Linked DNA regions of Styela clava. The protein of the gene in region 1 binds, or shares a complex with, the protein of each later gene. Links are inferred from orthologs where the notes say so. Each region holds a gene or a part of one and is shown in the gene's direction. Other genes may lie near its edges. The genes, in order: integrator complex subunit 1-like, integrator complex subunit 12-like, integrator complex subunit 2-like and integrator complex subunit 7-like.

Evidence for each region.
Region 2: integrator complex subunit 1-like (region 1) and integrator complex subunit 12-like share a complex: the UniProt entries of both Homo sapiens proteins name them as parts of the integrator complex. The link is inferred for Styela clava from reciprocal best matches to the Homo sapiens genes INTS1 and INTS12.
Region 3: the proteins of integrator complex subunit 1-like (region 1) and integrator complex subunit 2-like are in contact, whole or in part, in a cryo-EM structure (PDB 8RC4), measured with the Homo sapiens proteins. The link is inferred for Styela clava from reciprocal best matches to the Homo sapiens genes INTS1 and INTS2. Residues at the interface, in NP_001073922.2 of Homo sapiens: Gly561, Ile562, Ala563, Trp564, Asp565, Lys566, Gly567, Ser982, His1055, Met1056, Thr1058, Pro1060, Glu1095, Arg1096, Thr1098, Ile1099, His1102, Leu1107, Arg1225, Ser1250, Phe1251, Gly1252, Ile1253, Tyr1285, His1288, Glu1291, Val1292, Gln1293, Glu1295, Arg1296; in NP_065799.2 of Homo sapiens: Pro40, Leu54, Lys69, Leu72, Arg73, Leu75, Ser76, Gly77, Val78, Glu79, Val81, Asn82, Val85, Gly125, Thr127, Leu128, Glu131, His132, Glu166, Val172, Tyr173, Glu176, Arg322, Gln325, Gln326, Arg329, Gly400, Lys402, Thr769, Met772.
Region 4: the proteins of integrator complex subunit 1-like (region 1) and integrator complex subunit 7-like are in contact, whole or in part, in a cryo-EM structure (PDB 8RC4), measured with the Homo sapiens proteins. The link is inferred for Styela clava from reciprocal best matches to the Homo sapiens genes INTS1 and INTS7. Residues at the interface, in NP_001073922.2 of Homo sapiens: Leu1378, Gln1381, Gln1382, Gly1385, Gln1386, Ala1389, His1429, Phe1430, Leu1431, Cys1433, Pro1434, Arg1437, Gln1438, Cys1440, Gln1441, Pro1476, Ala1479, Gln1480, Met1483, Leu1484, Gln1487, Arg1552, Pro1554, His1555, Leu1556, Glu1557, Glu1558, Pro1613, Ser1614, Gly1616; in NP_056249.1 of Homo sapiens: His150, Asp151, Leu187, Ala188, Thr189, Pro190, Val191, Lys194, Thr223, Ser224, Tyr225, Pro226, Ser227, Thr228, Asn262, Asp263, Pro264, Arg265, Lys266, Pro303, Tyr304, Gln349, Glu350, Cys352, Tyr353, His354, Asn355, Arg357, Ala360, Gln384.

The regions. Positions count from the first base shown.
Region 1 is NC_135257.1:9,680,836-9,687,692, reverse strand, and holds the start of integrator complex subunit 1-like, read left to right. Parts: upstream 1-3,847; 5' UTR 3,848-3,893; coding exon 3,894-6,857. UniProt on the Homo sapiens protein: Component of the integrator complex, a multiprotein complex that terminates RNA polymerase II (Pol II) transcription in the promoter-proximal region of genes.
Region 2 is NC_135253.1:23,033,401-23,040,413, reverse strand, and holds integrator complex subunit 12-like, read left to right. Parts: upstream 1-4,760; 5' UTR 4,761-4,828; coding exon 4,829-5,959; 3' UTR 5,960-6,488; downstream 6,489-7,013. Other genes in the region: osteoclast-stimulating factor 1-like, read left to right, coding at 6,545-6,712. UniProt on the Homo sapiens protein: Component of the integrator complex, a multiprotein complex that terminates RNA polymerase II (Pol II) transcription in the promoter-proximal region of genes.
Region 3 is NC_135252.1:11,598,750-11,606,290, forward strand, and holds the start of integrator complex subunit 2-like, read left to right. Parts: upstream 1-4,527; 5' UTR 4,528-4,612; coding exon 4,613-4,761; intron 4,762-5,101; coding exon 5,102-5,230; intron 5,231-6,081; coding exon 6,082-6,233; intron 6,234-6,430; coding exon 6,431-6,547; intron 6,548-7,188; coding exon 7,189-7,271; intron 7,272-7,541. Other genes in the region: glycine--tRNA ligase-like, read right to left, coding at 1-55, 307-508, 634-801, 1,727-1,891. UniProt on the Homo sapiens protein: Component of the integrator complex, a multiprotein complex that terminates RNA polymerase II (Pol II) transcription in the promoter-proximal region of genes.
Region 4 is NC_135253.1:7,957,958-7,964,874, forward strand, and holds the start of integrator complex subunit 7-like, read left to right. Parts: upstream 1-3,912; 5' UTR 3,913-4,058; coding exon 4,059-4,113; intron 4,114-5,247; coding exon 5,248-5,377; intron 5,378-5,896; coding exon 5,897-6,043; intron 6,044-6,764; coding exon 6,765-6,917. Other genes in the region: transcription termination factor 2-like, read right to left, coding at 1-45, 904-993, 1,232-2,374; BLOC-1-related complex subunit 6-like, read right to left, coding at 2,924-3,271. UniProt on the Homo sapiens protein: Component of the integrator complex, a multiprotein complex that terminates RNA polymerase II (Pol II) transcription in the promoter-proximal region of genes.

The DNA.
Region 1 (6,857 bases):
TGCAATTGGAACTGCCCATCAAACTCATGTTGGAGACTTCATTGAGGTTTTCAATTCATTTTTTTCTCAACTATGAAGATCTTTTGAGGTTAACGAGGCATTAATAAATAAAGCTGAGGAATTTGTTTGTTCACTGTATGAAGAGGATATGAAGAATGTAAATGATACCAGGGCACGTCTATTTAACACTGGCAAACATAAGGATTATACTCCTCCAACCAACAATGATTCACTGAAGAAGCATGTGGCTCTCAAATCAGTTCTTGAGTTGGCAAACTGCAAGTGTAAGAAAAATAGTCAAAATAATTTATGCAAGTGTGCCAAAATCAACTTAAATTGGACAGATTTTTGTTTTTGTATTGACTGCAAAAATCACAGTACACTTATAGAGGAAAAGTCGATTTTCCTGTTTCTAGAAATAATATTGCCTTTGTTCAAATACATAACCACATAAACTAAAAAAAGACTGATTGTAATATTTCTGTTCACTATGTTATGTACATATTGTACATTAATTTTCTTGACTTTTCCGGTAAATTTCTAAGTGAGAAATAACTGATTTATTTGTGTTTTCGTGCTCACGATGTTAATTTGTGACTTCATTGCTTAAAAATAAATACGTTTAATAGCTTCTATAAAATGGATGTAGCTTTTTATGCTGTTCTTGTTGTAAACTGCTTGTGGTTATTACATAAAATTTATTTGCTAATGTGAATCAGCGTTGTTGGTGTCGTTGCTTTCGATGTCACTCGCGACTCCTGTCACACAATTACAGTATTTTTTGTTGTTGGTTACATGTATACCATATTTTTCGTAATCTACCTAATAAATTATGATTGACTGAGGAAGTCCGATTTTGGTCAGGCAAAACATTACAGGAATACATTTGTGTTAGTGTGCTGTAGGGCTCTCGAATTGCATAGTTCTTATGTATGTGTTGTAAACTTATGGTTATTGAATTTCCGGGAACCTCTTATATTCAATTTCGCATCAGGATTGTGGAACAAGCTGTAATGCGTTCAGTATGTTCATTTTCACACAAAACTGAAGAATTTATTTAGTTACCAGATGTGCGCTACGAAACTCATTTTCTGGGCGTTTTCAAGCCTTCGTCTCACGGCCCATATCCGTGGTAAGGATCTACAAGTGTTTAATAACTTACTCATACATTTTTCAACAACGTCTTAGCATAACTTAACCAATAATAACTAAACAGGGCTATGAAAAGGCTGCCCAACTCAACGCAAGGTCGAGCAGTAATAACTAATATTCATCCGCTCGCTAACAGCTGATTCGATTCAATTGTTACGTCATGCAGAAGTCATTGTTCATTGCCGAAAATGTAGAGAATATAGGACAGATCGTAGCACATATTTCTTGTAGTAAAAGCGTCTTTTCCGTAAAACGTGCAACTTTTGGAAGTGGGAACAAGGCAATATTTGTTACTAAATTTTTAAGGAACATTTTAAAATCATCTTCAGGTAGTTACCTGATGTGCGCTACGAAACTCACTTTCTAGGCGTTTTTCAGGGCCTCGGCTCACGGCCTAATATTTATTACGCTCACAGTTAAAGTTAAAATAAAAAAATTATATAAAACAAAAACTGAAAATTTAACTGGCTTCAAAAACATAATTAAATAATTCCATATTGGCGCTGGAATTAAATTTGGCAAAAAAAAAAAAAAAAAAGATCTATAACAACCGCTTATCGGTAATTAAAAATGTAGTTATATTATATCATGGAGCATCATATGAATTTATAGAGCCATCTAGCCGAGCAGTTTTGGGCTACGAGGATGGCATAGCACCAGACCTAATGTTGTGTATAGGTGGGATATCAGAAAATGATTAGAAATATGTGCAGAATGATAAGACATGAAATATATATAAAACAGTGTATTAATTTGACAGGAGAGACCAAGATATTGGTTAATACATCCGGAAAAACCTAATATGCACTACAATCTAATTGTAGGGCCAAAAAAGCCAGTTTCTAACCATTGCTGCAGCCTGCATGAACCGCAATTAAAGAGTGGCGAGTGGGGGTATATATCCAGATATCAGAATGCAGCAAGTAAGTTTTATGATAACAGAATAAAAAATGATTTAACAATTGGATCACTAGTCTACACCTACACGTTAACAAGTTATGTATATCAATTTCATTTGAGACAAACCAAGAATTTATAAATAAAAATTTACTGGTTGTTATAATAAAATGGTACCGGTATTGTGATTCCCATTCAGCGGCCATGCTTTGTTAACTATAATATATGACATACTGACATATAATACAAAAATTCACAATATGAAATTCTCTCACATCTAATTAGTAATATGGATTAAGAATACCTGAATACTGGATTGTATAACTGTATAATGAAATTCATTTAAGTTTTACCTTCAGAATAACCCAGTTAGCCCTGTTCATTAACCACAGAAGAGCATAATATCTACTTATTTGAAATATGCACAATGGGGCAGTAAACTGCTATCTACTTGTGCAATAATTACTAGGTTGCAGTCATACACATGTCTGCATGTATGTATACATCTCAGGAATGTCAAAGCCACTATGTAAATATGTGTGATACCACGCATGAAGAGCATATACCAGTATGTATTGATAAATCTTGGTTTGGAAAGAAGAATCGATGCTCGGGGAAACATCTGCTCATTGTAAATGTTAGTATCTAAAAGGGTTGACGGGGGTCGGGTATCAAAAGGGTGAATTCTATGTCGTTATGTTATGTAACAACAGAACAATGTATTTATAGTAGACCATGCAGGCAAAATTTGATAAAAATTGATTACCATTACAGCTTAGATAAGATATTTTTGCTCCTCACGGTCAGATGGTAGCTGTATAGTACAAAAATATTACAATACAAACTGTGAGAGGACAAACATAAAAGACAAAAAACAGGAAAGTTTAAACATTCAAATCAAACTTCATGTTTAACACATAAGATTGTGAAATTTCTTATAGAGAGGGAATATATCATTTCAGCATTTGCCAAACCAATGAGACATAGGCTGTTATACAGATGGTTTATATTTTATATGCAACATATAAAAATAAGAAATAAAAATGAGAGGCATTGATACGACATTTTTGGATCATGTCATCACTCATCAGAGTCAGTTTCCACCCAATACAAATATAAAAGTGATTGGACAGGTACCTCTCGTCTCATGTTTGTTTACTATATATTGTTTACCTGATAGGCTACAGATATACAAAATGCACTTGTCTTTCCTACTTTTTTTAAAATTTGGGGTAGTTTCAAGTCTAATTTAAAATTTTATGAATTATGTATATCATTCATATATAATCAGATACACAAGTACAATAATATCCTATAATAGGTGTGTTCCCCCGTGTTCTGTGAAGGAGACCTTTAGGTGTTTCGCGTCAAATTGTTGTTTCACATTTTTAGATTGGCATATTATCGGTATATGATAACACATACCGTAATCAATTGTACAGTGGTTCCTTGTGCCTCTGGAATATTTCATTGGGGTCATTCTTGACCAAGAAGAATAAAAACCCCTGAGGTAATCCCTAATCGAGCCTTGGGCTAGTGGTAATACATTTATATAAGTGAAAAACACCATGTGATGGCTTCAAGCTAATCAGCACTGTGGGACATGCAGGAGTAGTGAAAATACAAAGAAAAAAATATGCACATATCTTTTGCTCCTACATTGTCTTCATAACCAAGCTAATATATCAGGAATGTGGTAATAGCATATTTCTTAACTACTTTTTTTTTTTGTTTGCTATGTTTTTTTGTTTGTTACAGCATGCTAAAATTTATTATTCAACCTCATTTTCACAGATAATAGTTGAATCTTAGTATATTATACCTGGTCTGTCTGTCTAACAATCATGAAACGGACTACCAGCGGGCCTCCTAAGAGACTTCGTCCAGGGCCACCTGCGGATTTAATTGCACTTGGAAAAAGCAAAACTGAACTTCAGAGAGCAGCCCCTGAACCAAGCCTACCGTCGATAAAGAAGGTATCTACATTCCACACCATAGCCGCAGCAACGTCTTCTCACCAATCTCGTATGTCACCCACTATTCCTGAACCGTCTGTCAAATACATTGATGCTGCTGCCCAAGATTTACTAAAGAAAGTTACAGAGGCCAAAGATCAGGAAACGGTTGATGGATTAGTTTGTGGGGCAATTCGTGTTTTACGAGCAAACAGACTCCGGCCTGATCAGGTAATTGTGTATACATTGATGGTTTTGGCAAAAAAACAGCCCTCTATTTTTACCAGTGAAATGGTAGTTGAATGTCTAGTGGGACTTCTTAAAAAAGATGTCGGATTGGAATATATTAAATCGAAAGGGAATAGCATTTCTGCTGTGCTCGCTTGCAATCTTCTCTTTGCAGGATTTGAGCAGAACTATAGCTGGCCTTCACTCTTGGTAAAAGTTTTCATTGAAGACTCATTGAGTGATCGAATATGGGTTGATCATCCCAAGTGTAAAAAATTTGTATCCAGTGTTAGTACCGCTTTTGACACCGTTCGGATTTCAAAAGAACATAAAGTTGATACTGGAGAAGATGTGGATATGAAGGAAAAAGATGAATCTTCTGAAGATGAAAAAAATGTTTCTAAGCGTTTCATGGCTTCAGCAGAACTTGTACGACTTTATGCAATAGATATGGTTCGAGAGAGAGTTAATCGCAGACAGGGCACTATTTCTGCACAGGACCCAACAGGTGCTGCTTCAGGTCGTCATTTGATCAAAACATTAATTGCAATGTGTGGAATATCGGAGATACGTGTTATAGCTGCTCATAAACTGGAAATGTGGTCTCAAAATCCTAAGCTAGCAAAATCTACACAAGACCTACTTATGTCGATATGTGTTAACTGCCGAGATCATAATCAGGATGATGTTGATGTTATATCTTGCTTGGTTAAAATGCGTCTCAAAACCAAGGCACTTCTAAATCATTATATTCAGTGTTTAAAAATTTTGATAGATGCTCATAAGGATTCAATCAATACATTGTTCAGCTACATTATTTATAATGAATTATCCAGTGCCAGGAATCCTACAAACATGTCTGTTATAGCTGCTCTTCTACAACATAAGCCCAAAATTGCTGCAGAAACTTTGGCAATAGTTTGCCAAGATCTTCTACTTCAAAAAGAAGATTATTTAAGAGCCGTTCGTGCACTTGTTAGGGAAATAGTAAGAATTGCAAAGCATGATGTACAGTTTACTTCATTTGCCCTTGGTATAATGAAAGAGCCAGATCGTGAAAAGTTCATGCATTTGGATCAGGCTCATAAAGAGAGATTTGTTTCTTCCACTGCTGATTTAGTATGTCTTCTGATGTTAGTAAGTATCTCTCCGACAGTAAAAGAGGCAATTGGGGTTATTACGAAAAAGGCCACCCCCACATCAGAAGTTGATCATGATACTATTTTTCATGGCCATAAATTGGATTTAGCTGCAATGCAACGAGATGCTGTTTGGTGGTTACATGCCACTGCAGTTCCCCTTCTTTTACCTAAAATTACAACACCGGATTTGGGACAGCATATTCACAAACTGCTTTTTCTGAAGTCCGCTGAAACCTACTACATGAAGGATAACTGGCCACCTGAATCTGAAAGAGCAATGATGGTAAAACACTGTGCGGAAGTTCCATTACTGGAAGACACAATCATGCGACTGGCTGTCATTGGCCTTTCACACGAACATCCAATCGCTCCGGCAGAGACTCTTGAGCTTATTGGTCAATTAGTTCACAGAGCTGGTGCTTTGGCGAAACCACATTTCAACCCTATTCCAGTCGAGAGAAGGGATGTCATTGACACATTGTTATCTCTCGCTCAATATCATCATCCTGAAAATATCCATCTTCCCTCTGACTATGTGCCACCGTCTTTAGCAATTTCTCTGCTGTATTGGTCAATTTGGCAAACTTTGCTTATTATTTCTTCTTTTAATCCCAGCTCTATAGGTCTTCAGGCGTGGAATGAATATCCAATTCTTAGAAGTTTCATGGAGATGGCAATCATAAACAATTTCACATTTCCACTGGCAACAGTAGTTGATGAAAATGAGAGATCACAAATTGTGAATAAAGAAATGCAAATGGTGGAGATGGAGAAAAATGAAATTATTGAGTTTGAATCACATTTGGCAGCAGCCACCACACATCTTGCTGTAACAGAGGAGACAAGTTTGTTGCTTTCTCAACTTATTGCTATGGACACAAAAGGCCCACCTCGTCGACCACCTGAACATATACTAAACAAGACTCGATTGATATGTAGTCAGATTCAAGTTGGAGCCGGTTTATGCAGATCTAGAAATCCAGATTTCTTATTATACATCATTAATAGACACGGAGAAGACCAGGCAATGCCATGGTTGTCTAGTCTGGTTGGCTCTGCCAAAGGAGATATGAGTATGCTTCCAGTACAATGCCTTTGTGAATATCTCATGGCGAGCAGTGTTGATGATAGCAAAGCAGAAAACAAGCTAATACAAGAGAAAGAAATTGTCGCTCAACTTCAAAATTCATTACGAAATCAACAAACTGAAGAATCCTGGCAACCAATAAACTATTTTTTACGCAGGCTACATTCCCCACAATATGAAACAAGACTGAGAGCAAAGCATGCTCTATCTCTCGTTCTGAGGGATGAGGACATGGATACCAATGAACCAAAAATATGCCATGTACAACCTGTTCTAGAAGACTATGAGTGGCTGCTATATCAACTTGTGTCCCTACCTAACTACAACTTTGTTCATTCAAAAGCAGTTGATGCAATTACTGAGACAATTAAATGGGATAGTGATGAAAGTATGGTC
Region 2 (7,013 bases), on another chromosome or scaffold:
AACTGCATTTATGGAAAATGAGTCGCTGGAAGCGCCAAGAGATTTCCGTGCTGGCCACAACGCTAGGTCAGGCCGGCCAAAAGGGTTGCTGGATTTCTCCTCGTCGCAGTGCGGTTCGCATACACGTGACCACAATGCAGATTTCCCCACTTGTCATTACCCACCTAGCACTTTTACCAACCGACAAACTATTTAGCTATTATCATATGATTAACAACTCAAGTTCAAACAAAGGTTTTCTACATTTATCTTTTACATCCAACGTTGGTTTCTGGCAAGTTTATATCCCTAACAAATCTTTACGTGTTTCGTGAGACATAGTGTAAAAACATATCGATTCAGCGATCCATACCCTGTCTCCATCTTTTCACACCGGAACCTGGGATATGGACGTGCCATAAACTGACTATTGTACATATTGTCGTTGTGTCGTACCTCTTTGTCTTGTGTATTTTTTTTTATTTGTATAGTCAATTTTATGTCTGTTGTCCTAGTATAACGCAGCAGTCCTAAACTGCTGTTATAATTGCTAGGGGTACATGTCGTACATCTGTGTCTTGGGCCAATAAGGTAATAAGGTCTTGAACATGTATCCCGTCTCTGTTTTACTGTTTAATTATTAGGCAGATACTGTTACATTTTTGAGGCAAATAAAACATACATACCGTGTTTCCCTGAAAATAAGACAGTGTCTTATTTTAATTTTATTTCGAAAAATACCACTAGGGCTTATTTTCTGGGGATGTCTTATAATTTTATTTATCAAAAACAAAATTAGAAAGTACAAAATTAGGATATTTTCAAATATAAAAATATTAAAACTGATATCCATTACTTAATGACACGTTTTTCTCTCTCACACGTTTTAGATTAATCATTTATAACGTATGGGAGAGATTTCTTGCTATCGACCAGGTAAAAAAAATTTGCGGTATTGAATAGGTCCTATTTTAAGGGGAGGGCTTATATTAAAATCATTCCTAAAATTCAGGCTAGGTTAGGGTTACCATATTTGAAGAAGCAAAATTCCGGACAGTGCATGACTATGTCGGCAATGTCGCACAACCTTAGTCCTAACCGGTACACAAAAACTATGTTCAGGTTGTGCGCCATCTTGGTGCGCATACTTCTTTCTGGAGGTCCCTATTTTCATGAGACCATATATATGCGCTACCGAAATGCTAAGCCTGCAAACGTTGTACGATACTCATGCTAACGTTGTACGATACTCATGCTAAAGCGCCAGCTACCGAAATGAAAAGTATTGTCTTCAGTCACAAGCAGAATCTCACACCAGGCAGGTAAGCACACTCTAAATATAGCTACGGGCCGTCGACTGAAAAAATCTCAACTTCAGAGTGAAAAATAAGAATGAGAATTAGATTGTGCCGAAACGGAAGAACAGCACTTACATGCTTAAAACAAATTAAAGACAATCACTACAAATTTACTCTTCTGACCATGCATATTTTTCTGAAGATCTAATTCTCTTCTTGTCTGATTTCAAAAATGAAAACAATTCACTACAGTGCATATCTTTGAAATTATATTGGAGAGTCAACATGCCTTTTATAGTCGCAACTTGTTTCTCTCTTTAGTCCACTGACTTTGCATCAGTGAAAAGACTCTCTCTACATTGACATTGTGGAATGTAACAGCAAAGAAAAACAGTTCAATCCTTAAAATTTCGGAGTGGCATGTGATGTTCGTAGACTGATCGAAATATTTGCACCATTTCTTATGCGTTGGCAGTTTAATAAATTCTTCGTCTTGTAGGTAACTTTCCACAAACTGCTTCAAGTTACAGAATTGGTCAAAGCATTTATCATCGTCCACATCAACCCGTTTACTATTTTATTACTATATCAGATGTTCCAGGCAAGGCTTTACATCAGGGGTCGGCAACTTTTTGTCGCTCGCGGGCCAAAACCAAAGGTTGCAAGTCATTGGCGGGCCTCATATTTTTAGAATGTTGAAAACCGAACGGATAGCCGATGAATCACACTTTTTTCACACAGATCAGAAGTTAAATTTAGAGCAGCGCACGAAGACTGACCATTTGAATATTTTCTGCACCATCAAACCATTTGCGCTAAGCATCAACTTTTCTGCGTTTTGTTGCCATTTGTGTAATTATAATTAAATTATAGGGTCATTAAACGCGCAATTGTGAGTTATAACATACTTTAGCCTACGCGTGTCGCAAAATTAATTCTGTTACGTAAAGAATATAATCGTTAAAACAGCTGTTTTGTTACTATAATCCAGTGAAGCGTCGCGGGCCGGATTATATTGCTCTGCGTACCGGATCTGGCCCGCGGGCCGTAGGATGCCAACCCCTGCTTTACATCCTTCCAACTTGGTATCTCGTTCAAGGTTATCCATTTGAAACAAGTAAACTCTTCCATTGGTTTCATCCATTTGCACAGGTATTCCAAGCATCTCTCATAGACGTTTACAACTTTAACACCATTGATAAGGAAAACGCTCTGTTATATTAAAATTCCATACAACCTCGTAGTAAAAATATGCGCACGGTACGAAATAACAATGTTCTGTATTAGCAGTGTGCACATTACGATTGCAGATGCAGTAAAATTCCGGACATTTGAGCATTTTTCAAAATTCCTCCCGGACGCAAATTTTAACCCTAAATTCCGGACATGTCCGGAATTTTCCGGACGGTATGGCAACCCTAGGCTAGGTATTATTTTCAGGGTAGATTCGGGGAAACACGGTACATACATATCCCGACTGATAAACCGAAGCATTGTTTCTCCAAATGATCCAATAATAGTATCATCTTTCTTTCTCTTTTTTGGATAAAATATGAAAACTGCACGTTTGCCAACATGTATATTTGTATATCTTTTTTTCAGCTGAAAAACAAACTGTACATATAAATCGTTGGGTTGAATGCTTGTTGCTGTTGTTTAAATAAAACGCTTCTTTTTCGACTTCCTTTGTATAACTTGTACTCATATATTTCAGTACACTTGTTGACGGTATCGTTACCGAAGCGCGAATTTCGTGTCCGTATATTTGAACATTGCTTTCTTGTGCATTTAGTTACTTATGCGCGATGTATTTTTCATGACATATTTGTATCTGCCAGTGTGTATTGAACAAACACTACCGTGGGAAGAGTCTACCTCTTTATATCACCCCTACTTGCGGTATGCGATTTAATAATGCATTCGAGTTATTTCGATGAAAAAAATGACCAGTGAAGGTATTTAAGTTGCTTCAACTTTAATGAACTATTCGTCTGCGGGCGCAAATGTCCGTAGCTGTCGAACCACATAAAGAAGTGGTAAGGTATCATAAACTCATTTTTTACGTGCAATTGTATTTATGTGTTATCGTGTGTATAAAAAGTGATGTTTTTAATAAGAAAAAATTAAAAAAAAATGTCCGTAGCTGTAAAGGTGCAAATAGGATAGGATAGGATTTACATATTTATCCCGGGGGAGAGGAAAGCCGATAAGACGGCTTATCCATATGGCGAACCATGGCCTCTCGTCCGGTTACCATTCCAAGTCGTTACCGGTATAACCGGTAATTAAATAGACAAGTAATAGCAATAACATCAAGAACATAACTATCAACTATTCGTAACTTTTTCCTATACGAATAAGCACTTAAGCGTAAAATATATTTTGGTCAACAAATAGCCTACAGCCGGCAAAATTATATTCGCGCAAAAGTTCATTCTCGAATTTTTTTTTCCGCGCCTTTTCTGGAAAATATTATTCTCGCAAACAGTTTTCTCACAAAGTGAAAGTAGATCAGATTTTTGTTGTTTTGGCTGTCGTCAATTTTATCAGCTGGGGCATTTCTATTAAAAATATTCGTTCATATTTCGAGCCACAATATGTCGAGGGTTAGAATCGGTGAACCGTATTTATTAATTTGTGTGAAATGTCTAGTTTTTTTTTTTTTTTAAGAAGATTACATACGGTGGTACCGGTAGATGGAAAATGTAGAAATCACCTATGGCATGATACCGTACTGCCGTAGGTGTTTTTCTGATTATTTATCTAATTCTTTAAAAAAAAATTGTTTTTCATAAAAATGCTAATGATGGATAAATTGACTATTTATATTGTATATTATATAAGTGATGATAATGGAAATTATAGTCTATGTCTTAATGGTTACTGCATCACATGGAACCCCATGCTATTTACATTACAAAATAAAATTTGGGCCTCATGCAATAAAATTGAAATATATATTTGGATAAACCAAAACTATAATTTTCATAAAAATCCAATTTGGCAATGGATTTGAATTTGGCAAAAAAAAAAAAGGATCGGTGAATAGTACGATACCGGTACCTGTATGACTTTTAGATCTAGGTACGGTACTTCAGTCTTCAGTACTTCAAATTTCTGGTAAAAGAGAAACATAAGACAACTTAATGCTGGAATGTCTTAATACTGTAATACAGTGAATGACAGAATGTTGGGCACATGCTGACATGGTCTGTTTGGTGTTGTTCTACAGTTCCAACTAACCGTCTAAGTGTTAGTCTAACAAGGTAGCGGTAGGTATGAAATGAGAAAGTTCCTGATACTTTGTCAAGCTCTCCTTCACATGCGTGAAATGATGACGTCGTCAACTGCTGAACTGCAACACTTTCCTGTTTCGTGTTATGCCTCTCTCTATCCTCCTGATCTTACGCTCTGAACTTTCCTCAGTCTTTTGAGTTTTAACTCTTATTTTTTTAGAATGGCATTCCTAATTGATAAAATTCTCTATTTTGTTGTTGTATTACAGTATCAAATATAACTAGCTCTAATTTTGTCTTAAAGTCTAATTGATAATGGCTGTTGCAACAAATGAGTTAGATCCCATGTTTGTGAAAGCACTCGATTATTTGTGGTCGAAAAGCCCAGATTCAACGGCAAAATTGAAACGAATGCTCGATGATGCCATTGAGCAAAGTTTAAAAAAAAAACAAGACGTTAAATCAAATATAGACAAATCGTTAAATGTGAAAACTGGGAAACATTCAGTGAAAATTGTGAAAACACATGACACAAAGAAGAAGGAAAAAGATTCAGCCCAGAAACGACAATTTGAAAAAATACAAAAAGATTTGTTAGAACTTGATCAAGAGGTCTCGAAAAAGTCTCGTCTCGATAGCCAGTCACCAGCATTTTTATCGAACGACAAATTTAGAAGTGGGAACGAGTCGAAACGGTCACCTTTGGCATCAGATGATAAAGATTATGCCATTGAGATGGACGAGCTTGCATGCGTCGTTTGTAAAGGCTTCTCTAATGATAAAGGAAATACGATTGAATGCCAGGAATGCCATAATTGGTATCATCGCGATTGCCATCAGCCACCGATAAGTGAAGACGCAAATGATCCTCGTTGTTTATGGAATTGCTCAGTTTGTACGAAGAAAGTTGCAAAACAGATTAGTTCGAAGCCTTCTACTGTCGCCAGACCTAATCTGGTTCGAGATAATTCTTTCGAACCAAAAAATAAATCAGCTTTTGTAACGCCTTTTAAGCGGAATGAAATAAAATCGACTTTACAGTCATCTGGAAATGGATCAGTTGGGGGGTCGTTATCTGGATGGGCTGCTTTGAGTGGAAAAACAATTCCCCAACCATCAGCGACAACAAAACAAGTAAAACCTACTACATCTGGGGTTCTATCTTCTAAAGAAAAGCGTGATAAATCTACTAAAATGCCAAAAGTTGGGCCCAAACTTGCTGTATCGGATGCATTTGCCGAAGCTCTTGGAGCTGATTTACCGACAGGAATGGCGAGTTCGTCAAAATCAAGTTCACATAAGTCAAATCCATCGTCATGGATTTCTACTTCTAAATCTTCAATGTTTCCTAAAGCGGCAGCAACCACTAGTCTCGCCAGTGCGGAGAAAAGATTCCAAAACATGAAGAAAAAAGCGAAGTTAAATTCAAAGAAATCGAAGATATGATTTTTTATTCATGACTTCGCAATATTACAGTAATGACTCGGTGATTGGCGAAACAAGACTCTATAATTCATTATAGCCCCAGTAGTTCTCGACTTCCTGGTGGTTGCCCAGGACTCCACTCAGATATCTTTGATTTATGAGTGATTACATGTGAACTTGCTTTGAGCGAATTTCCATTCAAAAAAATTCTGGTGCTAACAAAACAGTAATTGGAAGACTTAAAATAAAATTGTTCTGAGCTTTTCATTTTCAATAACATAACATAGGACTTTACTTGAAAAACTAATTCAAAACTAATCTGCTAACTATCCCAAATTTTTGGTTTCTTTGTGTTTACTGTTTAGATATTTGTTATAGGTTCAAAATGATGTTATAATGTATATGGTTGGTTGTATTGTGAATTTTTCTTGGGAATGACAACTGTAGTCCCAATGAAAGCGCCAAGCCTGTTTTAAAATTCATCAAAAACTCTACATGTTATGTACTTTTGTTATTAAATTTCAAATGCCTAATTTTCTGCTTTTTCCAGGTTCAATTAAATAACAATAGTCTTATAAACTAATTAACCCCTAAACGACCACAAAAATGTCTTCGAAATCAAGGCCACCCCCTCCCAGGCTAGCTCCAAAACCAGGAATGGTAAAGACATTTCGAGCTCTGTATCCTTATGAAGCGCAACAGAAAGATGAGTTGTCAATTGATGAAGGGGACATTATTTATGTGACTGACCAAAGTGATAGCAACTGGTGGAAGGTAGGTGATGAAATTGGTTAATGATGTGTAACTGGTCGGAATAATAGTGGTTGGAGGTAATAGAGCATGACTGGCCGGAATATTTGTAACTGATTTATGTGACTGATCAAAGTGATTGCAACTGGTAAAAGAAGATAGGTGAGGGAAGCTATCCCTGGCTGTCCAAAAAAATTGGAAATTATTTGGATACATTTCAAATACCAATATTCAATATAGTGAATTTTTGATGGCAGGAATAATTCAGAACAACAGAGAAATAATTTTCTTTATATTTATGTTGTTTCAGATACGATCAACATGA
Region 3 (7,541 bases), on another chromosome or scaffold:
ATGTTATTCTTCAACATGCAACCCACTGGCCCAAAATCATATAATCCGCTGACACCTAGATTAAATAAAATGGTGGAAAACCAAGAAATATATTGTTCTGCAATGCAGATATAATGATATGATATCCAATGTACTTGGGTGGCATTTCCAATGTATAACATATTATTGCTAATTAATAAAGATAGATATATCAAATCATGATATGAAACATTAAACTAGAACAGAACATAGCATTTAAGCACAATAAACTTCAGCACAGAAAAAAAGCACTGTGTCCAAATTCATTTCGATTAAATTCATACAAACCCCCATATAATTCAAATGCTTGTCCATAAAAGAATCTTCTTTTGATAGTATCATCAAAAACTTTTCTTGGAAACTGTTCTTTGGATGCAAGTTCATTTTCCTTTTCTTGAAGTTTTCTCTTTCGTACTTTCAACTCTGCGATAGCTTGTTGTAAATCAACAACAGCAGCATTGCTTTCTTTTAGTGATCGAACAATGTCACCCTGTAAAACAATGCTTTAATATGATAAATATAATACCAATCCTCACTAAAATATGGTTCAAAAAGTACATGATTCAAAACCAAACACTTAAAACACACAGTGAAAAGAAGAGGAGTTGAACAGACCTGCTCTTTGACTGAGAGTCGCAGTGGTTGCATTTGTTTTTCCATTTCAATTTCATCCATTGTTTCGTTTATGTCTGGAGACAAATGTTTTATTAAATTCTTTCGATAAATCTCTTGTTCTTTTAATCTTAGTTGCAGTTCAGCTTCTTTTAATTTTTTCTTCGGAACCTGATTGAAAAAATATAATAATAAAGCATACCAATCAAAACATTATACTGGAATAGTGTTCAAGTACGGACATATAACTGTATAATTCACGTCCAAATCAGTGAATTGTCAGACAAATAGGAGAAATTAGAATACGCCGTTTAAAACTATGTTTTCAACGAGACTATTAAACTTTTTAAATCTGCAATCTGATGCTATTAAAAATTCAGCAATTAGGATTAGGGAAGTTGAAAATCCTATTGCCATCTAGGGCTTCTTGTCTGGTTACAAAGTCCTGAAGTCCATGGATGTTCGGTATGAGAATCACAATTATTATCAGAGTAACTCCCACGGGGTAATCAGAGGTGTGATGGAAAGCGTATTCCTAATGCTTACAGGCTTAGCACAACGCAATTACAGAATCCAGGAATCAGTGAACCAAATGAAGTTGTAAGGTTAGCATACGGTACTTCAATCTATATGTTTCGAAGAATCAACAACTTTTAACAAAATTTTAGGTGAATAAACACACGGCACTGTCTTTAACAACTGAACAATACATTTCTGTGAGAAAAAAACTTTTTTATTCTGTTTACTCTTCTGTAATTCAGTACCTAAATCAGGTTGGATAATATTTTATATTGCCTGGTATTTATGTCAGTATGCTGATTATGGAGTAAAAATAAAATTATACCTGCCCTATAGCATAGATAGACTACTATTTGATATTACAGTAGGTATTATTGAAATCAGGAAATTAACAAAATATGGCAAGGTTCGAAGGTACGGTACCGTACGGCAGTACGGTCTGACGGTAGGTATTTTGCAAACTTATCTGCTTAGTTCAGTAGTTCGTTATTGCAGTATTGCCTACTGTCTGACTGTTATAGCTAATTAGACAGTTATTTTGTATAAAGACAGTATAACAAAATAAAACGGGTCTCACCCGAGCAGTTGGGGACGCAAAATATCTTTCCCAATTCAACAGTAGCGAATTCCGTTGCTGATTTTTACGCAGCAAACAATTTTGTAAATTAGTTGCTGGACCAAATTTCAAACCCTTCGCCAAATCTTTTAAGTTCACGGAAAAAAATGTTCTTCTAATATTCATACAAACGCTAAAAATCAGCACAATTAGAATGACATGCAACGCAGTTTACAGAAAAAAGTCGTCGTAGTATTTTTTTTTTTTTTTTTTTTTTTTAATGGGATAATATAATAAATTATAACAAAAAGTATATAACCATTCGAGCAATCATAAGATAAATAATCCAATATTCATTTTTCATATGTCCATTCCATCAGTGTTTGAGGTGTTGATCGCATCGGCATACAATTCATCAATTTTTAGTATATTGAGTTAGATTATGTACAATAAACGTAAAAAATTAAATATATATTAGACATGTTCATTTTAATATATACTAAATTTATACACACTAGATTTATAGTTCAAATACAATTCCTTAGTATTTCAAATTCTCTGACAAAATTTAGTGATTTTCTATTTTTTTCAATGTTGAGTCTGTAAGTGATTGCAGTTTTTATTTGTTTGATAACTAGGTGCTGATTAGGGGGATTACCTTCGAATATAACAGAATTTCTTTGTATCCATATTTTATATCTAGTGATTGAAATTAAATAAACAATAATATCTAAATCTCGTCTTGTAATGTTGGAATGTAACAAATAGCTTAAATCCAATGAAACACAAGTTTCATAATTTTTCAAAAGCCTGGCATTATTTAATTTCCTTACAGTATTTTCCATAAAATCAAAAACATAATCGAAATATTCACAATTCATAAATAGATGGCTAACAAATTCTGGTTCTTTTCCACATAACACACACATATCATTTCCTGCTATATTTCTTATTCCAGGTTTTGTTTTTACTGGTAAAATATCCCACATTAACTTGAAATTAAAGGTTTTCATATAGTTTGCCAGAATATTATTATGAATATTCTCACATGCAATATTTAAATTACAATTGCGTAGAAAAATTAATCTGTCCCCATTCATAGAAATAACAATTTTTTTATAAATAGTTTTATGCATATCTTCTTTTATATCTGTACTACTTATGTTATGCTTTCTTAAAAATTCTAATATTAATCTATACTCACTTTGAGGACAAAATCTATGTAAACATGTATTTTTAGTTCTAATCCCCCAAAATGTACTAAGTTGTTGTCCAATATTGTATTCAACAAAGGACATACAAATATGATTGTAATCCTCATTATAATCACATTCTCTAGCTTTATAATAATCCAAGACACTAATTATGTACATGCACATTGTAAAAATGGGTATGTTAATAATATCATAACCCCCCAAATTTTTTGGTTTGCACAAATTATTTGTTATGGGTTAATCAAGATCGGGCCGACGTTACTCCGACAATACGACGCGGACGCGAACGAAATGAATGATGAAATAACTAGTAAAGCGTAACAAAACATTGCACGTGTCGTTCCGCACTGGCCAGTACGACATGCAGGGTTATATTAAACTTTATAAATACGCTTTCTAATACTGTACCGGTAGTGTAATTCACTTTTCTGTTCATCGGTCGAGAGTCGCAGTCAAGTCTGACCGTGGTAATTTCACCTACAAAACTGTGAAATGAAAACTCGCAGCATATATAAACGCAAGACAATATGCTCAGAAATAATCAAACGGTAGCCGATATTCTTCGTGATTAAAACTTAAAATAAGTATTTGCTTGTCCTTCAGACGTCTATATTTCATATTTGGGGTTTCGCGAAGTAAACGCCGTAAGCCCGCAACTGCATAAAGATCACCAAACACAAATGTGGTGTGAAAAAGAATGCTAGGCTATAAGTGATTTAATAACGCCAATCAAAAAAAATAGGATGTGAAAACACCATCCAAATTTTCATTTTTTAAAATAAATGTGTCTCTAAACTGCATGGGACATAGCTGCTTGGCTGGAAATTGAGTAGATTTGATTTGAACTAAACCAACGCCTATTTCAATAATTTTTTTTCTGCGTCATGCGCCCCTTTTTCTTAAGACTTTTGAGAGATCAACAAATTCTGCATGCCATATCCTGCATATCACTTAAGACGCTAAGCTAGGCTACTTGACTTTGCTTGTCAATAGTAAACCGCGAAAAACTCATCATGGACGAATTACGCCAAAATTAAATTTAACTCTGATTACCCCAATCAACCAGATTGACTAATTTTTTGTGTGTTTGAACTTTTTGTTTGTCAACAGGGTCTCCCAAGCGTCACTTCAAGCTGAATACTTTTTTTTATCACATTAAAATTCACATATTTTTGTTTGTTTGGCTTTATTTGAACAGTCACAGCGTTTACTTCACTAAACCCCATATTTGTGTGTGTGTTTTATTATGTAACACAGGTTTTAAATAAAACAGTTTATGATATGCCCATCTAAATTATGGTATTTTTATTCGCAGACTTCTTGATACAGTTGCTGGGTTTACAGGTTTAGTGTAGTTAAGCCATGCTTGTAATTCGATAGCATATAATTTACTCGAAAGTTGTCAAACACTACACTAACTTGAACCCCCTAAACATCTACTGGCATAATTTATTATATTGCAAACTAACACACATTTGGATTCCCATCTTATCCAACTTATCGAGTACGGTACATATGAAAGAGTCTGAGAGTGGTGCTATGAGCCTCTTATACATTAACAAGACAACAGTTTTCAATAACATAAAACAGAATAATAAGCATTTAAATTTGAAGCAACCTTTATATTTATTTAGATTTACATAGAAGATAGTGTAGTTTTCATATGTGCATTTTAGAAGAAAAATAAAAAATCATGCTCGCCAATATAGCTCCTGAAATATTGGAAGCATATGCAAATCTTGACATTAATACGTTATTACAAAATCCTGCTTCATCCATCAGACCTTTGCTACCTTCTCTCAGTCGCATGCTGTTGTGTTCTTCATTGGACAAAACATGGAGGTAAAATATGAAGATGTGAATATATTTTTTCAAATTTGTTTATTCGAGAAATTTATAAAAATGCTCGAATATTCATTCCCATCTTACTCTCTATTTGGTTTTTAGTATAAATATCGATTATTGAGAAATTGCTGTTCAAATGCAATAATAATTTGAATTGTCTTTCGGCATTCGCATGTATTGTTATATACAAGTAAAAACGCAAATAGCTTATCTAAATTGAAATCGTTGTTAGGCATATATCGTATGTATCTTTGCTTATAGTTCATAAAACATTCTAATTGTGATATTATCTAACACTGAGTTCGTTAAAAATTCATTTCAATATTTTTTATTTTAGATGGGAAGAAAATCAGAAAGATCTAATGCAGTTATTATCAGGAATAGAAGATGTCAATGACATTGTCGCTCTGTTATCTGTTGATTTTCATGCTTTAGAAATTGATGCTAAAACAGAACAAAAAACAAGGTGTTTATTCTTCTATTTTTTATGCATATGTTTACATTTCAACCATCACAATCACCAAACATTGAGATTAACCTCATTACTTTGTTTCAAGAATTTTAAACTCAACTTTGTGTTACTGTTAGTAAGATTGCCATTTGTAAAATTTCTACTAGTCTCATAACTGGGTCTGGGCATTTTCGAATACTGTATCTGATGATTTCAAAATCAAATTTCGATTACTTCGAAAATATGAAATCTATCACTCAGACAGTTCGATGAGTGTTCACGCACAAGAAACATGCCTCATCAATAACTTACTCAGGTGAAAAGAGTCATATGTCACAATTGTGTTTTAAAAATATGGCACAATAAATAAAAAAATGAATGATTCATCTTATTCTTTGGGTGGACACAAACAAGATGCCGACGATTCACAATTCTCGCCTGAACCGATTCAAATAATTTACTATTCCATTTGAATACTCAATTTAAAATGCCTAGTTCTACGCATAACCAATCATTATCGTTCTTCATGTATAAAAATATAGTGGGAGTGGAATATTTTCATGCTAGTTTTCTCAAAGTCAATTTGCAATCGAGTTGGAAATAGAAATATTTGCATAACTATCATTAAATACAACTGTAATATTTTGCACAAGTAACTTTGACTAATACAAGAAAAGTTTCTTTAAGCTTTTGGCATGCACGATTAAATTATGGTATAAGAATAATTCGAAGCTTTTTATATATGCTTAACTTTGAATACTACCTTTCGAAAATTTTGACATCAGTGTGATTCAGTGTGTAATTTATGATACAGGCCTATCTAAGATTTTCAAGAAAGGCATAACTTCTGTTAATTTGTTTTATAGGCAAAAAATTACAACTGGAGGCAGAAGTGTAATTACATCCAATCTCCAAAAACATGGTCTCATCTTAGAATTTGAAAGAAGTGAACCTGCTCGAAAATTGCGTTTACTGATTTCAGATATCATGCCATTGCTGGTTGCATTTTCAAATTCAGGTTACAAGATTATAATAAAACTATCAGAATGATTTGAATTTTTGCTGCTATGCCTGATGCACTACGTCTAACCTTTTCCTTAATTAATAGAAAACTTCATTGCCTAATATGAAATTTGTATCATAGTTATATATATTGTAGTTATTACGGTAAATACAAATTTGATAATTTTATGGTGCCATATTTCTTCTAAACAGGTGAAGGATCAAAATCCTTAGTCTTAGATGATGATGGATTTGCTACAAAATCTGAATTATTTAGTTGTATTGCTTATCTTCAAGTTGTTTCTGATGTTCTTTGTATTGCAGTCGCAGGTAAAATAAGAAACAAGCGATATTTGGGTGCTAAAGTTCTCAACTTTCTGTAAATTTGATTTTATTGTTGATGTTGTAAACTTTGTTAAACCTTGTTATAGATGTTGCAACTTGCAATGGTCATACTGATTGTGTATACCATATTCCCGTATGAATAAAGTTTAACATAGCTTTATTGGACACGTTTAGTGGACATAACGATCGTTTCAATATTATGTTGTTGTTGTTCTTGTTCTTTGACACGTTTTTAAAAGTCGCTTTTCTCTTCGAATACTGGACCAATTGCTTTGAAATTTTCAGTGGTTAAAGATTAATTTTTTCGCTAGAAGGCTATTACTTTTATTTATTTCAAAATTTTGCGTGAATTCTATGAAATTTGATATTTCGTCTAAAATTTTGCTGTATTATTTTTTATCCATGGGAACACGGATTTTAGTCAGTGTCATGACTGGCTGTACGTTTTGATTCTGCAAAATTCTTGCTACTGGAAATTCAGAACTTTTTTGAGGGTACCGGTAGCGTCAAAGGTACCGGTAAGGACTGATTCGCTCTGGTCTAACGTGTCCATATATTTGTGCGTAGCTCTCTTGTCTCTAATATGAAGTGAAATTTTTAGCAAAGTATTTATTTCTGTTTGTTAGAATTGCCAACATTATTAAATATATTGGACATGGCAGAAGCACTGATGTATGTTCCCAATGGAGGAAAGGTTTTATGTAAATTGGTAAGATCACTTTTGATATTTCCATCAGCTATGGTTATTTGAACTCTGTCAAAATCTTTGCCTTTCAGTATCGTTTATTATATGCAGGACATTCAAGATAATTATAATGCAATTCCAGATTTCTAAACCTACTTGTCAGATAAGTAAGCTGTATGTGTATCACATCAACTACACCTATAACTTCCTGTATTTTTGGTGCTTCCATGTGAATTTGAATGTGAACGTTAAGTGTACATGTGATTCTTGAATTATCAAGTGAGGCATGCAATA
Region 4 (6,917 bases), on another chromosome or scaffold:
CACTAACCAAGCAAGTGCTTGTCGTTGATGGGTCATTAATGTTACCTGTAGAGAAACAGGGTTTATTTCAGTATATGTGCAATATACGTTTTGGTTCACCGTTCATGGTTATAATTTATGGTACTCCTGAAGTATGCGCACCAAGATGTCGCACAACCTGAACCCTAACCTGGTACACAACCTGAGTTCAGGTTGTGGGCCATCTTGGTGCGTATACTTCAGGAGGTCCTGATTTATTTTAACCGTTGACTGACATCTTGGGTACAAATCCTCTTTATAATGTACTATTTTTTAAAAATGATTACGTCATCGCAAATTTATCTTCTGCGGCATTTTAATTCAAAAAAATATTGCTGATTATGAAAATTTGACAATGATAAATTCAGAATCAGTTTTCGGTCGAAGTAGCCTATATTATAGTTCACAATTTTATTGCAAAATCATATAGGCCTACTTAATGTCATCCAACAAGTGTGCAGGTAATGCTGTTTTTCTTATGGTATCTCAAAATAGAATTTGCACATCAAACACTGAAAATTTGTCACATAAATAACATTTAATAATGGAATCGGGTTTTACTAAAATACTTCCATATGTGCAAAGCATGCTGCATATCATTTTGCAGAAGAGCAATCATGAAACTATCTCGCTTCATGAATAATTTTGATTGATACTGGGATAAGACCACCTGAAATTACTTTGCAGCCATTGTGACGTAACAAGTTAATATTATAAATTATTATGTCAAACGTCATGCTGAGGTGTTTCCCTGAAATTCCCAGCCCTAGCGTTTACACAAAACTGCATTTTCTTACTCAATCTTAGAAGATGACCAAGTATCAAGAAATGTTTTTATATGGACCACACTTGCATACATCTTTTGATGGAATTCATTTATCTAACCTTCAGGCCTTCAGGATCATCCAGTTCTCCTGTGGGTTCAGGTCTCGTTTCCAGAGACTTGTGAAGGTCCTCAATTGCAGCCTTTGTTATCTGGGAATAATAATAATAATCATGAAACTCATTTCAATATTTGGTTATATCTCGGATACTAAATAGTAAATACTACCCAAAATTAGGGTATGAATAATTTTAAACATTTAGGCAATAAAAATGCTGACCAGCTGACTGAATGAAAAACGATAATAAAAAGCTAAGCTTTTAAATTTTAGATTACAATATGAAATATTCTCAAGAAGATTAGAAGTACAACTATGGTATAATATATTACCTGACGGACTTCAGTCAGACGAGCACTTGTCATTCTTCCTCCATATAACGGACCATCGTTAAATTGCATTGGACCCATATCATATGCACTAAGATCTAATTTTCCTGTTCTCGCCCCAAATGGTTCCGCTTTTGGGAACGTAAGTTTTGTTTGAGTAAGTTTCCTATCAGGAGCAGAGTTAAAAGCCATAGGAGGTGCTATCATTACAGCACCTTGAGCATCAGGCTTTCTTGAATATGACTCTAACCATGGTCGTGTATGCTTAGGCATTGCATCAGCGTTTGAAAGAGGTAGTTGATTCTCTTTGTCAATGAGTTTTGAAGGAGTTGAATCATGACTTTTATCTTTATTTTTGCTTTTCATGGATAATTTTTGCAGTTCAAGTTCCAAATTGTTTATTTCATCTTTCAGTCTTCTACCACCATCTGGAAGTTTATCTAGTTTTAAACTGCGAAAAAGTGTTTTTTTCTTACCAATGTTCTCTTTCAGTCTCACAACTTCAGGATCCTCTAGTCTTGGGGCCATTCCAGCAGAATTAGGCCCAGTGGCAGAGACTACAATTGGCCCTTTCCTCATTGCAGGAACAACGCATGGGGGACCAACACGAATTTTTCCTGAGCTTAAATCTATAGGCTTCGGTTTTGGTCTCCGTTCGTGCTTTTCTCTGTACAAATTTTTTTCAACTATTTCACCATGTTTCGAAGAAACCTCTTTTTTACCGTGAACTTTGACATCATGAGGATGTGGGATCGAAACGAATGCTCCGGAGTTACCATTACTATACGTGCCATGTTGGTGTTTATCATGCTTGTGAGGTTGTTTCCTGCTATCCTGGTTCTGCATTTGATGATTTCGTTCAAGTCTTGTAACTGCTTCTGCTCTAAAATCCAGTTTACTATCACGACCAATGTGTTCTTTAACATCGAAGCAAAATTTATCACCCCTCGATATTCCTGATGTAATACCACAATTTCGCATTGTCGTCATATGAAAAAATACATTATCGTGATTAGGGACCGAAAAAAATCCATATCCTTTATCTTCTTTATAAACTGTGACAGTTCCACAATATCTTGTTCCTACAGTCAAAGCCTTACGATTGTGGGAATGATCGTTTGAATTACTGGAACTTACCTCGGCCATTAGGAATATAATACAATACTGAAACTGAGATCAAAGCATTGTCAGATGTAAAACCAAATTAATATTTTTAATATTATTCGAAGTTAAATAAATAGATTAATAATCAGGCTCAACCCTAAATAATCAAACAAAGCAAAAACAAATTCAAACCATCGAAAATAAATAATAAAACTTAGGTAAAACAATAAAATGCATAATTCTGTCCTAACACTTGCATAGAAATTACAAATTAGTTAATATTACTTGTTGAAATCTGCAAATAGAAATGCCTATTAAAAATGGCTTTGATGTAATATAACACTTGAATAGACATGTTTCATTTGATTAAATATATAAGCAGTATATCAGTACAGCAGTATATTATTGTATTTCACAATTCATAACAATAATGTAAAATTTGGAATTTTTTGAAATAAAAAAAAAATTTGAATGTCAAAACAAAATGATTCTATATTTATTATTTTATATTAAGAATTAGTTATTATTACTTTATCGAAGACTCATAAACTAATACATAAGATTCCTAGTCTGAATAAAAAAAAACTGTAATCATGGTATTTGAGCAACTTGAGCTTCTAGCATCAGCAGAGAATTTTGAATTTTTTTGATGCTTTGACCAACTTTATACACAGGAACCATTGCTTTATCAAGTTCCTCACAATGAGCAATCAGCATGTACATCGATTTCATTGAGTCATCAATCTCAACTCCCATAGCTTCAATTGCACTGCTATATGTTTGTGAATTAGCCACAGTAATTGCTGATGTCTCGTGTAGTTTATTAGTCAGTTTCTTAACTATATTGCCAAGGCTGTTAGAGAGTTTTTCTGTTTGCCGTTCAAGATCATCCAGTACAGTGCTATCAATCGCAGGAAAGTCATCATTCAAACCAGACATATTGCAACATTGGTTTGTTACAGTAGCCTACTGAAGTACCAAACAAATATGTATATACTGAAATAATCTGCAACTATTGAACAGACACAGCTGGCATTACTCTATTACAGTTTTACATCACATATTCAGATATTATTGTGAACTGGAACAGATATGAATTATTCATTGCACAAAAGTTTGTTCTAAGACTTTTCAATTTCTTACAATATTTTTACATCACCAATCATAGGCAGAGAGCTGCCCTGTACAATGTGCTTCAGTGACAAATTTATGCATTGCAGCAAACTATGCAATCATACTTTTGCTATCCATATTCAAATACAGAAATAGGCTATATCCTCGTGATAATTTTAACTTAGCACATATCCCAGTATCCTGATATCGCGTTTCAAATGCAGAGAGTGTACCAAAAAAATCCGGAAGTTTATGGACGACGATGTCACAGAATAATAATAATATGTCGACGATAATGAACCCCAAATCACTGAATTATGCTCAACATAACCATGCCAAGGATTCCTCCCCAAGTGTATTACGGTACGTATTACAGTATTATGGAATACGCAAACCGAATTCCCCCGCGAAGAGAACGATCACCCTTTTTTTCTCTTTCAATTATAACACGTGATTTCACGATACCTGCACGCATGACTTCACTCAAGACGATTGCTCGTGGCGAGAGGATCTACTTAGCACATCGCATTTCGCTAGCCATTCTGTAAACAGGCTTCCTCTTTTCCTTTGAATATTTTGGCGTCTGCCTATCATTACAAATCATAAGTCAATCATGATGGACGAACAAAATCAAGATGCCAACTCGGCGCTCATGGAACTTGATAAAGGTAAGCCTGCTTGTAATAATCTACTCTTAGGTCAGTAGTACAATGAATACAACATATGAACAAATAAATAACATAAAATAATTTATTTGAACTCGCCATCGTACAAAAAATGGCATAATAAGGTTTTAACATGGCATAAAAGTAAAATTCTATTGTTAATATATTTGCCTACTGTTTGTATGCTTACGTTTTGGATTGTTTTGATTTATGTTTATGTAACAAAATAGAATAATGGATACATAACATGGGCAATCTCACTTGTGACTGTATGACCATTTACACAATATTGAAAATAGTATATATATCAGTATATCAGTACCGGGTATATCAGTATATGGAGTTATTTTACTTGTTTCTGTGCAAAAATAGTCTGTTCCTACTGTCCTATATTAGCAATTCACTGGCAGACTGGTAAGTGTAAAGAGTTAGATATAGGATAGGATTTACTTATTTATCCTGGGGGAGAGCAAAGTCAATAAAACGGCTTAATCCATTGATGAACCACAGCCTCCCGTTCGGTTACCAGTCCATGTCGAATATGGGATTAGTCAGTCAGGTATTCGTTTTTCGATGCATGAACTTGATGGTGGAGGAAGCTGTACCGACCACCATTCCATCCCCCGCAAGATTCGAACCTGAGAATCCACGCAGAGCAATCAGAGCATATCAGTAATGCTTAGCACGAAGCGCCACACCGCCGAGCCATGAATTTTTGCTATCTTTTAATTTATGTAACATAACATATGGTGTGGCAAGTAATTTTTATTTATTTATTTTTTATTAACTACCAGTATGTAATTTTTCATGTTCCCTTTACTTAATAACTTCTATATGGTTGTGTGTGTGGGTGCGTGTGAGCGTGTGTGAAATATTTCAATTATTTTAGGTGAGTGAACACGTACCACATCTTCTTGGCAAAACCTTCCATCTTATATACATTCTGTACGTTTTAAACCTTATCTAAGGTTTTGTTCGCTCTCCTGATTTCATAATCAGTTTTTATTTATTTATTTTTAGCATTCATTTTATTGTTTTGCTGATTATGGAGTCGAAATAAACTTATACTTATACTTATATAACAGTACCACAGTATCCTGATATTCAAATATTATTTTATTCAATATTCTTTCAAAGGTCTTCGTGCTCAAAAAGTTGGCCAGCAATGTGAAGCAATTGTTCGATTTCCTGGATTATTTGAGAGATTTCCATTCCCAATTCTTATCAACTCTGCATTCTTGAAGCTGGCAGATGTGTTTCGTGTTGGGTAAACATCAGATTCCTTATCAGAAATGAATATTTCTTAAAAATAAATTTGGTTAAGGCTATAGACTAATTGTGTTAGTAAAAACGGTAGCGTAAAGCAGCCTTTTTTATTAATGATGATCAAGCATTTGAAGTAATGAAAATAGGTATGCACTGATACAGTCATGAAGAATTATGAAATGTGTAGCAATTTTATTTGACATGTGTAAATCAACATATGTATTTATATATATAGGCCTACTATAACTGAATCTCTTCATATATTTCCCTCAAGCATCGTATTTTGATACTTGATGTTAGATGAAGCGCAGTCAATCTATTGTCGTATTCAGGTTTTCAGTTTGAATCTTGATTAATAAAACATTAGGGTTTTTATCATTTCTCTAAAAGCATATTTGTCACGAAGTAGGTACAGTTTTTGTTAGTTCGAACAAATCGCAGCGATCATTTTTATGTATATACTTATGGATAGAAATTCTCGGTTTTTAAACATCGACAAACTGACAAATTATTTTTTCAGGAATAATTTTCTTCGTCTTTGTATACTTCGAGTGTCTCAGCAAAGCAATAAACATCTTGATAAAATTCTCAACATAACAGAATTTAGAAGAAGAATTTCTGTAGTTATTCATAGCAATGATCCATATGCAAGAGCAATAACTTTAAGGTTGGTTTTCTAAAAATGAGTTCCTCAACCTTGTTCTACCAGACCGACTATCGCATACAATCTCAATATTTTTTTTTTGTTCATTTTTGTTGCAATTAGGATCTTAATCTATTCATTGTGAACCATTAGTAGGCCTATTTCGAAAGCTGGATCAATACAATTATATTCCTTACCAAATGTATTTCATCATGCTAACTACTTATATTTCACTACTCATTTTTTATTTTATTTAATATGATGCTCACACACTTTGTTCGCTCTTAGCAAGGCTCTTTACGAGCTGCCACTGATCTCTAACAATATTTGGGAGGACCGGGATCTTTCTGACTTGTAATTGCCTGATCAATTACCAGTGGCGTAGCCAGAGGGGTGGTTTTGCGGGTCGAAACCCCCCTTTTGAAATGTAAAAAAAATAAAATCTTTTTTCTGTATCATAGATAGCAATTTTTCGTAGCTTTAAATGCTTTTTAGACCCTCAAGACTAATAAAAACACGCGTATTCTAGAGTCGATTAGTCCCGCTAGCTGTTTCGATCTAACTTGCCAAATAAAAATTTCAGAACCCCCCCCATGAAAATTTCTGGCTACACCCCTGTTAATCACCCTGGTGGACCCCTGTCAATCACCCTGGTGTAGATGTGTGTGTGCGTGGGGGGTGAGATGAGATTTGAATTAGCCAATTTCAATTACCGGTAGCTGTTAATGACTTGGTAATTTTTCAGGATGCTGGGCAGTATTGCTTGTATAATAAGTGATGAAAAAAGTGTTCACCACAGTATAAGACAAGGTTTGGATTCGCATGATCGTGTTGAGCAGGAAGCTGCAATATATGCAACTATTCAATTTGCTTCACATTCGGGGGAATTTGCTACAAG